Drosophila melanogaster: one gene and its partners. The protein of the gene in region 1 interacts with the protein of each later gene in a pairwise test. Each region holds a gene or a part of one and is shown in the gene's direction. Other genes may lie near its edges.

The links.
Region 2: the proteins of HINT1 (region 1) and Arf6 interact in a two-hybrid assay, tested with the Drosophila melanogaster proteins (one large-scale study listed by BioGRID).
Region 3: the proteins of HINT1 (region 1) and CG15083 interact in a two-hybrid assay, tested with the Drosophila melanogaster proteins (one large-scale study listed by BioGRID).

The regions. Positions count from the first base shown.
Region 1 is NT_033779.5:2,767,983-2,771,407, forward strand, and holds HINT1 (histidine triad nucleotide binding protein 1), read left to right. Parts: upstream 1-2,152; 5' UTR 2,153-2,168; coding exon 2,169-2,209; intron 2,210-2,211; exon of another isoform or gene 2,212-2,276; coding exon 2,277-2,418; intron 2,419-2,477; coding exon 2,478-2,747; 3' UTR 2,748-2,922; downstream 2,923-3,425. Other genes in the region: Taf10 (TBP-associated factor 10), read left to right, coding at 1-244, 304-561; colt (congested-like trachea), read right to left, coding at 663-1,583; CG15399 (uncharacterized protein), read right to left, coding at 2,956-3,425.
Region 2 is NT_033778.4:15,320,364-15,324,118, forward strand, and holds the start of Arf6 (ADP ribosylation factor 6), read left to right. Parts: upstream 1-2,137; 5' UTR 2,138-2,349; exon of another isoform or gene 2,350-2,378; intron 2,379-2,439; exon of another isoform or gene 2,440-2,667; intron 2,668-2,760; 5' UTR 2,761-2,778; intron 2,779-3,085; 5' UTR 3,086-3,120; coding exon 3,121-3,202; intron 3,203-3,481; coding exon 3,482-3,755. Other genes in the region: CG8155 (uncharacterized protein), read right to left, coding at 1-145, 203-1,525, 1,613-1,657. UniProt on the Drosophila melanogaster protein: GTP-binding protein involved in protein trafficking; may modulate vesicle budding and uncoating within the Golgi apparatus. Promotes cell movement and remodeling of the actin cytoskeleton during compound eye morphogenesis.
Region 3 is NT_033778.4:18,833,622-18,837,376, forward strand, and holds CG15083 (uncharacterized protein), read left to right. Parts: upstream 1-1,641; 5' UTR 1,642-1,770; coding exon 1,771-1,891; intron 1,892-2,658; coding exon 2,659-2,726; intron 2,727-2,794; coding exon 2,795-2,957; intron 2,958-3,033; coding exon 3,034-3,134; 3' UTR 3,135-3,221; downstream 3,222-3,755. Other genes in the region: CG15098 (uncharacterized protein), read right to left, coding at 30-163, 344-497, 690-775, 855-1,041; CG15099 (uncharacterized protein), read right to left, coding at 3,726-3,755.

The DNA.
Region 1 (3,425 bases):
GGCTTCCGATGGCGAGGACATCAGTGTTACACCCGCAGAATCCGTAACATCGGCCACGGACACCGAGGAGGAGGATATAGACTCGCCACTAATGCAGTCCGAACTGCATTCCGACGAGGAGCAACCGGACGTGGAGGAGGTTCCTCTGACGACGGAGGAATCGGAGATGGATGAGCTGATAAAGCAGCTGGAGGACTACTCGCCCACCATACCAGACGCCCTCACCATGCACATCTTGAAAACGGTAGCTATATACCGGAAACTATTCTTTGTAGCATTTCTAATATTGGATTAAATCTGCAGGCTGGCTTCTGCACAGTGGACCCCAAGATAGTGCGCCTCGTCTCGGTGTCCGCGCAGAAGTTCATCTCGGATATTGCCAACGACGCACTGCAGCACTGCAAGACGCGCACCACGAACATCCAGCATTCCAGCGGACACAGTTCCAGCAAGGACAAGAAAAACCCCAAGGACAGGAAGTACACGCTGGCCATGGAGGACCTGGTGCCGGCACTCGCGGACCACGGCATCACCATGCGCAAGCCGCAGTATTTCGTTTAGATTTAGTTAAGCTCTAAAGTTTTGAATTGGGCACACAAATATAGCTAGTTTTCTTCAAGTTGTAAAAACATTTTAGCGAGGCACTTTCTTTATTAGACAAACTAGAAATTTGGAGCTACGATGTTAAAGAATTTGTTAGCCAACTCAATGCCGAAGAAGCAGGCAGCGTTGGCTGGGAAGGCTCGGAGCATGATGGGCGTCACGCCGCGGTACAAGGCCAGAGGTCCATCCTTGACAATCAGATCCTTGAAGACACTGCGTATGCCGTGCTTGTAGGTGCCTTCGGGAGCCGATTGTAGGCGGCTCTTTAACACGTCGGCTGGCATGCCCAGAATCCAGTAGGCCATGCCCGCCACTCCACCTGCGAAAATCGTTGAGGCAGTACTGATTTGTCCCGTCTCTGACTTCGACTTGGCCACATCCTGCAGCGCCTCGTAGACCAGGAAGTACAGCCCGTTGGCGGGCAAATCCCTGAGCATTGTGGCGCAGCTGCCCTTGAAAACGCTGCGAAGTCCACCCTCCTTGTATAGCTTGCCGGCGCAGTCGATCATGCCGTTGTACTTGCGCTCGCCACCCTGACCCTGCTGCGTCTGCAGGAGCACCTTGATGCGCTCGCCGGGTGCCATTATCAGGGTGGAGAACAGGCCGGAGAAGGAGCCGGCCACGAAGATTTGCGGGTAGGTCAGCTTGGCGTCCTCGCCGCGCTGCTGCAGCCGCTTGCCCAGCGCATAGCCGGCGAAGCACATCGCAAAGATCGGAGCAACGCCCGTCAACGGTGCGGACATGCCCTTGTACAGACCGCGGACGCCCTCATTTTTGATCGTCTTGGCCGCACAGTCGAAGGTGCCGCGGTACAGGGGCTGCTCACCCGGCGCCGGACGCGGCATGGTCTGCAGGCGCACCTTGATGGTGTCCAGCGGATGGCCAGAGAGCACATTGCAGATCCCACCGAATCCGCCGGTCAGGAAGGACTTCACTGGATTCGCTTTGCGCTCCGTGGACACGTTCTCCGTGGTGGTCATGGCTACAGGTTGCTATTGCTCTGCTCCTCCTTCACCTTCACCTTAACGGCCGGCAGCTGCTCGATTTCGGAACTAGTGTTGCTGTTTTCTGGCAAGTCAAGTGGATTATTGGAATTTGCACCTAGCCGATAGTTTCGAACTAATCTTGAGCATTCTATAGCGATAAGGAGCGCGGCAACATTACGTCACAAGCTGTTGATGTTCCCACAGATGCAGTGATTCTCCAGATAAAGATACTGGACTGCACTGATATCACAAAAATATTGCCACGGAGCAACTTGATCTTGCGATCAAAAGAGTAGTTTTTCTGGTTTGAAGATCTCTATGATTTCCATATGTTGCAGCAGGGTTCAAAGTCCACCTATGTGCACCTCCTTTGAATTGAATTTTCACTAGCCCTACAGCCCTAATTAATTAAAGCGATCTATGGCACTAAATACTTTTGCATTTCCCTGTAATAATTTGTTGATGTTTTTTTTAAATAATAAATAACATTATAGCGACGCAGGTGTGAGAGCATTCGAATACCCTAAATTTGCCGCTCTGTGTGAATTGTCTGAAAACCAAGTTGGCAGCGCTATTTCGATGTTCTTGTCAACCGGCCGGAATTTCTTTCGTGTTTTCAGGTGAGTTCGTGCGAAATTGGCTTAATTATCTAAAGTGCCGCGATTATATACTGTATTTACGCTGCAGCTCTCGCCAAATAGCAAGCTGCAGTGCTAGAATGGCAAGCGAAGTGGAAAAATCGCAAACGGCAGCCGCCAGTGAAGACACCATTTTCGGCAAGATTTTGCGCAAGGAGATCCCATGCAAATTTATCCACGAGGATGATAAAGTGAGATCGCAGTCCATTTGGTTGCTAGAAAAAGATGTTACCTATCGAATCTTTCACAGTGCGTTGCCTTCCACGATGTGGCGCCCCAGGCACCAACCCACTTCCTCGTGATTCCTCGCAAGCCAATTGCCCAACTCTCGCTAGCCGAGGATGGAGATGCCGATCTGCTGGGACATCTCATGCTGGTGGGCCGCAAGGTGGCCAAGGAGCTCGGCCTCGCGGATGGCTACCGCGTGGTCATCAACAATGGCAAGCACGGCGCCCAGTCAGTTTACCACTTGCATTTGCACTTCCTCGGCGGCCGCCAGATGCAGTGGCCACCAGGATAAGAAGCAGCCGATGGTGCAGCTACCAGATCCAAGATCATTTACACCACAGAGAATTTTTGAAATAAACTATGTGAAATGCTAAAACAAGTTACTTTAAATTCGCCATGTCCATAATTCCTAAAGAAAGCTTCGTTAGAAAAACGTAGTGCTACTTCATTTTTCCATAAATTTTATTAAAAAAATTGATGGGAAACTAAAAAATAAAAGGTCACAAGTGGCGGAAACTTAACAGTGGAAATTGCTCCTTGAACTCGATGACGCGGTTTAGGAAGCCGTACAGTTTGCCCTGATTACGGCTCTTGTCCACAAAGCTTTGGGGATCCAGGCAATTGACGAGCATCTCCTCGACGTTTAACTGGTGGGCAATGCTGCCCCTTCGACGCAGTGGTCGTCGCATCAGCTTGTCCAGGTTGGTGCCCACCACCAGAATGGGCGCATTATGGTTTTTCAATATGGAACGGATGCGCAGATGTCGATGCTTGCAGATCTGTCGCAACGGATCGTACAGCCAATCGTGCAGGCTGTCCTGGGAGCTCAGTTCCAGCATGTTGTACACGAGGACGATGCCGTCAATATTCTTATAGAAGCTTTCGCGCTGCTGGCGGCACATGCGCCAATCGCTGTTCAGGTCGTAGAACTCGACAAAGTACAGGATATTCGTGGTGGTGGGCGTACTCC
Region 2 (3,755 bases), on another chromosome or scaffold:
GACGGCGCAAAGCGCATACCTTGGTGTAGGGACTTTCACGCGGTTTTGTCAGCAGATAGGAAGGACTGGTCGGCGTAGCGCTGTAGGAGCTGGAAAAAGTGCTGGCGCTATTGGGCACGGAGGCATCAGTAATGGGTACGAATTCCTGTGAAAAATCATGGTGATTAGAAATTAAGCAATTCCCTTTGGGTTTCGCACTAACCTTTTCAAAGAGCGCCAGCTCTTTCTCCCCATCACATCGATAACGAAGTGAACTCCACTGCACCTCCAGCATGCGAAGGGCATCCTCAAAAGGAAACTCCCGCTTTAGCTCCAGCAGTAGCCAACGGTAACAGAAAAGTAAGTCGTCCGCTTGCTGCGACTTGAGGTACTCCCAGAACTCAGGATCATAAAAACTTAGCGCCTCCGTTAGGTGAGCAAATTTCTGAGTCATTGCAATCCCATCCAGCATGAAGTTTCCACGCATACGTGACATTATCGCACAAAAGCAGATGTAGGCCTGTGCCTCGTCGTTCATGGTAACCAGTAGCGGGGAAGCAATGTCCGACATGCCTTGACAATATGAGACCGATGGATGGTTTAGTGCATATGTGGTGAGGATATTGAAAAGCGCAGCGATGTTCTGATTGTCGTCGCTGCCTGCATAAAATGGATGCAGGCGGTCCGTGCGGAGAACATCCTTCTTTACCATGCTCGTTACGTAAGCCAGTTCTCCAGCCACACTGCCTCGCTTCACGGCCGCTTTCCATGTGTCTCTCAGACGACAGTACTGCTCAGACTTTCGTCGCATGAATTCCATACGCTGGTGTCCATCAAGTGCCAGTCCGTTAGCGCCACCGGGATAAACGTTAAGCAGATGTTTCCACACAACGCGCCGCAGACTGGGGTCAATGCCTCCTAGGAAGATGACCCTATGCAACTCGTCCTTGCGTTGAATCTGACCAAGTGCGTCCAGAAAGAGCCGGAACTCGCTGTCGCACATGGGCGGCCGTGGCGGTAGATTGGCCATATGCTCCTCGGATAAGTTAAACGCTTTCTGCACTATGGAGAAGGTTTTCTCCATCTGATTCAGAATGGAGCTGCCCAGTTTGGTCTGCATGTGCTGGACATATTTCTGGGAGACTCCTAAGGACTGCAGTGGTGACATAAGCTCGCGGGCGGGTACAAAAGGTGCAGGAGTTGCGGGAGCAGGCGCTCCCGTTATGGATCTACCCGGGGAGGCCTCGGTCTCACACTCCCTGACCACCGTAAATGGCTTCACATCGATCTGCAGGGTGAGGCAGGGTTCTGAGGCCGTCTGAATGGAAATGTTGTGAATCCTCAGAAAGGCGGCATCCAGATCCCAGTCGGAGCGCACGGCCAGGTAGATCTCGTTGCCCGCCGGATCAAAGGCCTTGTACTTAATGGAGAAGTCCGACTTGACATCGAAGGCCTTGGCCAGCAGGGAGTACAACACCTCCAGCGTGGTGATCTGCGGGTCCACTGAAAACTTTCGCCACTCCGGCCGAGCAGTGGGTTCGCATTTCTGTGGGCGATTTCAAAAAAATTAGATTGAGGAACACAAACTAAGCAGCCCTTTTGTTGTCTCGCCTTCTGGCCACCTTTCACTTGCCTTCACTTTCACCCGAACCGCCTCCCGGGGGCAAATGCCAGCCATGTTTTCCGAGTCTGTTCTGGTCGACGACTAACTAAGTTCCATTGTACCTCTGAGCGATGTCAGTATCGTAAGTATTGCTCAAATATAAAACAATACAAAAGAAGGAAACTGAAATCAATCGACTTGATTTCAATCATCGGTTTCAGTGTGGCCGCCCTAGGGCTTTGTAAGTTCACCAGGGCTACATTAAAATACCAAATCACTAAATACACAAAACAAAAATTTTTAAAATTAAAAAAAATTAACAAATTGTTGAACGTACGAGGAGAATATATCAGCTACATTGTTTGCTAAATTAATATGAATAATAAATGAATATAAGAAAATAAATCTTTTTCAATTTTGAATTGCAAAAGTAATAACTTATTGGCCAAAAAATCACGATATCCCCGCCAGTCACCGTTTTTCATCTGATAAATTCAGTATTTTTGGTATTTATCCTCCGCATTCTTTGCATTTTTTAGCGTATTTTCTGGAATTCCCGAAGATCTTGTTCCGCTCTGCGCTAACGGGCACATTGCTTCGTGTATGTGTATATAAATACAAGAAGATTAGTGCAAAATTGTTGTTGTTAGTTATAGTTTTTTGGCCGCCGTGTGCTAGCAAATGCATTTTATGCCCCGGCCCGCGCACTTTGGCACTACATGTTAACGGATTTCAGGCTGGCGTGGAACGAATTGGGCTGGAAAGCGGTGCGTAACGGCGGTCGTCGGAGACTTGGGTGTGTATACATGTGTATGTGTGTTACGGGCGTGTTTGTGACGTAGGCAAGCAGCAGCGAGAGAGCGAGCGAAATTCCGTAGAATCCGAAAACCATCCGATATCGTTGCTCCCAAGCCGGCTTTACTGGGTCGTCGAGGGGTGCGGTGGCTGTTCAGGGGGCGGGGGTGGAGCGGTCGGATCCACCCGCCCATTCAGTGGAGCCAGCGATAAGCCCGCAATTGAGATAACTCTGCCTCAATTTGCGAGACACTATAGTGTGTTTATCTGTCCAATTGTACTTCCTATGTGTAAGCATGTGTGCGTGTGTTTGTGTGTGCGACTGTGTGCTGCAAGCTCTTCACTGATAAATTCTGCCTCTCCACTTTTTTCTCGCTTTTTAGCAACGAGCTGATGACAATGTAAGTGAAATTATTATGCAAAATAATGGTCTTAGCTTCCGCCGTCGTACAAGCTCTATATGGCCACCAAATTGCCTGTGCCCGCCGTATGTGTACATATGTAGCTACATTTGTATGTTCATATATCACTTACGCGCCTTCGCGCGACGGCGTTCTTATATCATAAATTGATATGTTAACTGCAAACTGTATTACAATGGCCCTATTATCTGGAAATTCACTGACCCTGCCCTGAATCTCGCCCAGCTATTCTTATCGATATGCTTATTTGGAAGACCTCGCCAACTCTACTCGAACTGTTTTTCAGATTGGCTAAGGTTTAATGGATGACACATCAGCACCATGGGAAAGTTACTATCAAAAATTTTCGGCAACAAGGAAATGCGAATTCTCATGCTCGGACTGGACGCGGCTGGAAAAACAAGTAAGCACATAAACAATAAAGGGTTCTCGAATTCGATTGTGGGCCTGATTAGTACCCATTAGTTTCATCAGTTTCCTAAGTGGAAACCAATCCCATTTAAAAAATACTCTTGAGGCGAGGCAATTATTGTTTTGTTTTTATTCTTATTGTACTTTGAAAAAATGTACAATATAAAGACCTTTCAATACGTACACCAGTACTATCACTAATCGAATTCGAGCTATTTTGTTTATACATCCTTTGCGTGTCTAAAGTAATATTGTTTTTGTCCACCCACAGCGATTCTGTACAAACTGAAACTTGGCCAATCTGTTACAACGATACCCACTGTGGGCTTTAATGTGGAAACCGTCACCTATAAGAATGTCAAGTTCAATGTGTGGGACGTCGGTGGGCAGGATAAGATTCGACCGCTATGGCGACACTATTACACGGGTACACAGGGTCTGATCTTCGTCGTGGATTGTGCGGATCGGGATCGGATAGACGAGGCGCGCACGGAGCTGCATAGGATAATTAACGATAGGGAGATGCGCGACGCCATCATACTGAT
Region 3 (3,755 bases), on another chromosome or scaffold:
GCTGGCCAAACGGGAAGCTACACTGGAGCTTAAATCTTGGTGTAGCTGGGATAGGAGTTGGTCTGCTGGGTCGGCTGTGGGATCAGCGGGCGCTGGATCTCACGGGATGCCTGGATCTGCTTGAAGAGCGAGTAGATGCCGTAGTAGAGATACCAGGTCAGCACTGAAAACGAGCGAATGGAGAAAAATAAGCATCGTGCCCAAGCGCAATTATAGAACGATCGCAGACCGTCGAGCGATAAGCGCAATGGGGATCCACAATTTCGCAACAACGGCCAGTGTGTATTGTGTATACCCATTTCCAGATAGAGCTTATGTATGTATGAAGTGGTGAGTCACTTACAGAGCAGGCCAACATCCACGAAAATGATTGGAAGAGCGCTCAGGAAAGATGTATTTCCGATGATCTGGGCCAGCATTGCAATATTGGTGATAATTCCAAAGACAAGCAGCACTCCATTGTTGATCAGCCAGGGCAGCAGGAGTAAATGGCGTTCCTGAAAGGCAAACGCTATTAGAACCATCTCTATCTCTAGTTAGTATGGTGTATGTACATATGTATTTGCAAAGAAACTTGCCGGTTTTTTTTACAGAATAGTGGGCTTTTAAAAAGGTCTAACTCTAGATATGTACTATAGTAGACACATATATACGCGATTGTACAGATTGCATATTGATACTAGACTTACCTTAACGGTACCTGCAACCAACATGGCCGAAGCCAGAAGATTAATCACCTTGAGCGCCAGGTAAACACTGAAAACGATGATTAGCACTGCAATAACCGCAAGAACAATGAAATACAATAAAAAATATACGATTGGTTGTGGGTGCACTCGATGGTTAGCCCTTACCACTGCGAATCTCGGTGGCCGTCTTGTTAGAATCTTCCGATCCCTTGGCGATCTGCTGCGCAATTTCATCGACGAATCCGAGGGCCAAGGACAAGAGGATCGTGGCCAAGAAGGATAGAATCACGCCCAGCCATCCAATGACCACACCATAGGTGTTCAGGCGCATACAGAAGACCCTGGACAGCATTCTGGATTCACTTGATTTCGTGCTAATGCGAAGATAAAGACAATTTTACTTCAGTTCGCCGGCGCAGCAAAATTGCAATTGCTTGATAAGTCGCAATTGGCTGACAATTAAAAGCTTTTGGGTACAGCGGCGTTGCCAGACTGGTTCAAGCAGTTGGTGTCGAAACTGTGACTTGTTCACCAGCTTTTAATGTGACTTTTTAACGCTAATTGTTTAAAATTCTTTTAATAACATTTTTATATTTTAAATATTTTTATGCATTTATTATTTGGCATGATAGTTAAAAAATATTTATTTATGTATTCATTAACACTGCACAGCAGCGGCTTACTTTCATAATATTTTTCAAGGTGCTAATAGTAGCTACATTACATATATAATACAGCATTAAATCTCTCTATTATTTTAAAGACAATTCCCCATTTTATTCATTTCACTCTTAAATGACGAAACATATGCAAACAAATTCATATAGTAAATGAGTGCACATATATTTTTTAAGAACATATCAGACGTAGTTTTTCCACGCTCGAAAAAAAAGTATTTTCGTGTTGCATAGTTTACGCAACCGTTTCTTCTGAGCGGCATCGGCATTTGCGCCACACTTATTATTTGATTCTTGCCCAGTGCGGTTGTGTTTCCGTGCGCTAGGTGTTCCCAAACCGGTTTAAGTGCCATACTAGCCATATTTGTATTTGGAAAATTCGCTGTAAACCACAGAGTTTCAAAATGAAAATCGATCTGACGGTGGAAAATGGCCCGTGCAATACCGATTTGCGGAGCTGGTGCCTGGGAATCGCGATCTATTGGCTATTGAGCATGACTTTCAACGTTATATTCGCTCCAAACGGTAGGAGAAATGCGAGAGGCGTGGCATTTGTTTATTTTCAGAAGCTGATTGCCCAGACTGACGCTATTTCCATAGAGAGACAATACATTCATGATGTTCACATGCGAAATAAACGAATGAGCTAATCCATTCGACACAAACGCGTTCCAATTCACAACCATTTTGGATACAACACCTCACCATCGATGACGACATCGCCGACAAATTCGAGCTGACAATTCATTTTAGGTGGCCCGAAATGCCATTTTCTCACAGGCTTGAATTTTCCAGCACAAAAAAGAAAATTAAATAATTTCCTTGGGCTGTGCATGGCGCAGAATTAAACTTAAAAGATTATTGGGTTTTAACAGTTGAACGCCATATGTCATAAAAACACTTAAAGCCCTGCATTTGTCCATGTCTCAAAGAAGTTCTATAAACCTTATTCTAAGCTGTTTTAAAAAGTTTGTCATATTTCATGTATGAAATGTGTTTAAAATATAAAAGAAGAATTTATGTTTTAGTTCTTTATGTATATGTACACATGTACATGAAGTGCATCAGTGCATCAATATGTACTCATTATATACGAAGATACATTTAGCAGTCGTGTTCTCAAATTTCAGACGGGAAGAAAGATAAGAGCACAGCAACGTTTTGCTTGGAATACATTGAGTCACTTATAAGCCCAAGTTTATGTTTACTTTCCACTAATTGTAACGGCTTTTTTTATGAATGAAATATGTACGTTCAATAATTTCTATTTAAATTCACTTGAATCCTTGCAGTTCTTACCTTTATTGGATTTGCCATCGTAGTAGTCGCCAATATTTGCTTATTGATAGGAACCCTGAAGGTAAATAAAATACAACCCATTCCGTTTTATTGAGTCAACGAAACCCAATCTACCTTTCCGAATTGCAGGAAAAGCCAATTCTGGTGTTCGTCTGGCTGATCTTCGCTGCCATTGAAGCCATCTCCTTTCCGTTTGCCGTCTTCGGGGTTATCTTCCACTACGGAGGATATCGCGAGGCTACCGGAATGAACAACGTTTTCGGTGCCCTGCTCGTTTACATCATCACATTTCGTAAGTATCGGCTATGAACATCAAATTGAGTTAACAAAAATGTACAGATCATACATATTCTCCGCTACACTTTCAGTATTGATCCTCTTCAGCGCACGAATTGTGTACTCCTTCTACCTCCAGCTGAAAAACAGCGAAGCCAGCAAACAAACACCGCGCGCCATGAATGTGGTTTAGTCCTTATCATTCTACACTACATAAATTGTCGGGGAAGAGCCCACCGTTCGTTCATCTCAGTGTTTGCAATAAAATGCTTTGTTTTTTATTTGATTGCAGTTTGTCGTTAACGCACATCTCTTACTCACATCGACTTGGGATCAACTATCAACAGTTAAATACATTGGTTACATACATATACATACAGGGTGCTATTGGCTATTGGGCTACCGCGTTCTTAAACATTCAACATTTAAAACGATCGATCACACTACGGACAATTATATACTCTCGACACAGTTCTCTATCTATATAGCTAGCTATCATACTCGGCATCGTCTTCTGCTCCAATCTGCTTACTTAGACATAAAATGGAAAGTTGGTCATCTTATTGTTGCTGCTGTTATTGATGTTTTGCGACTGCGTAAAGCTCGTCTCGGCATTTTGGGTAGTTAGCTTAGCCTGCACGGCCGCCAGTATTCGCACAGCCTGGCCAGTACTGCCCGACTCCATGGCAGACTCCATACCTAGGTTCAGGTTCAGCTTGAGCTCGAAGTGTGACCCACTCGCTTGGATCTGCGACTGCGTCTGCCGTTGGGCAACAGCCGGTTTTCATCTCGGCGTGGTTATGCTGGGCAGCTT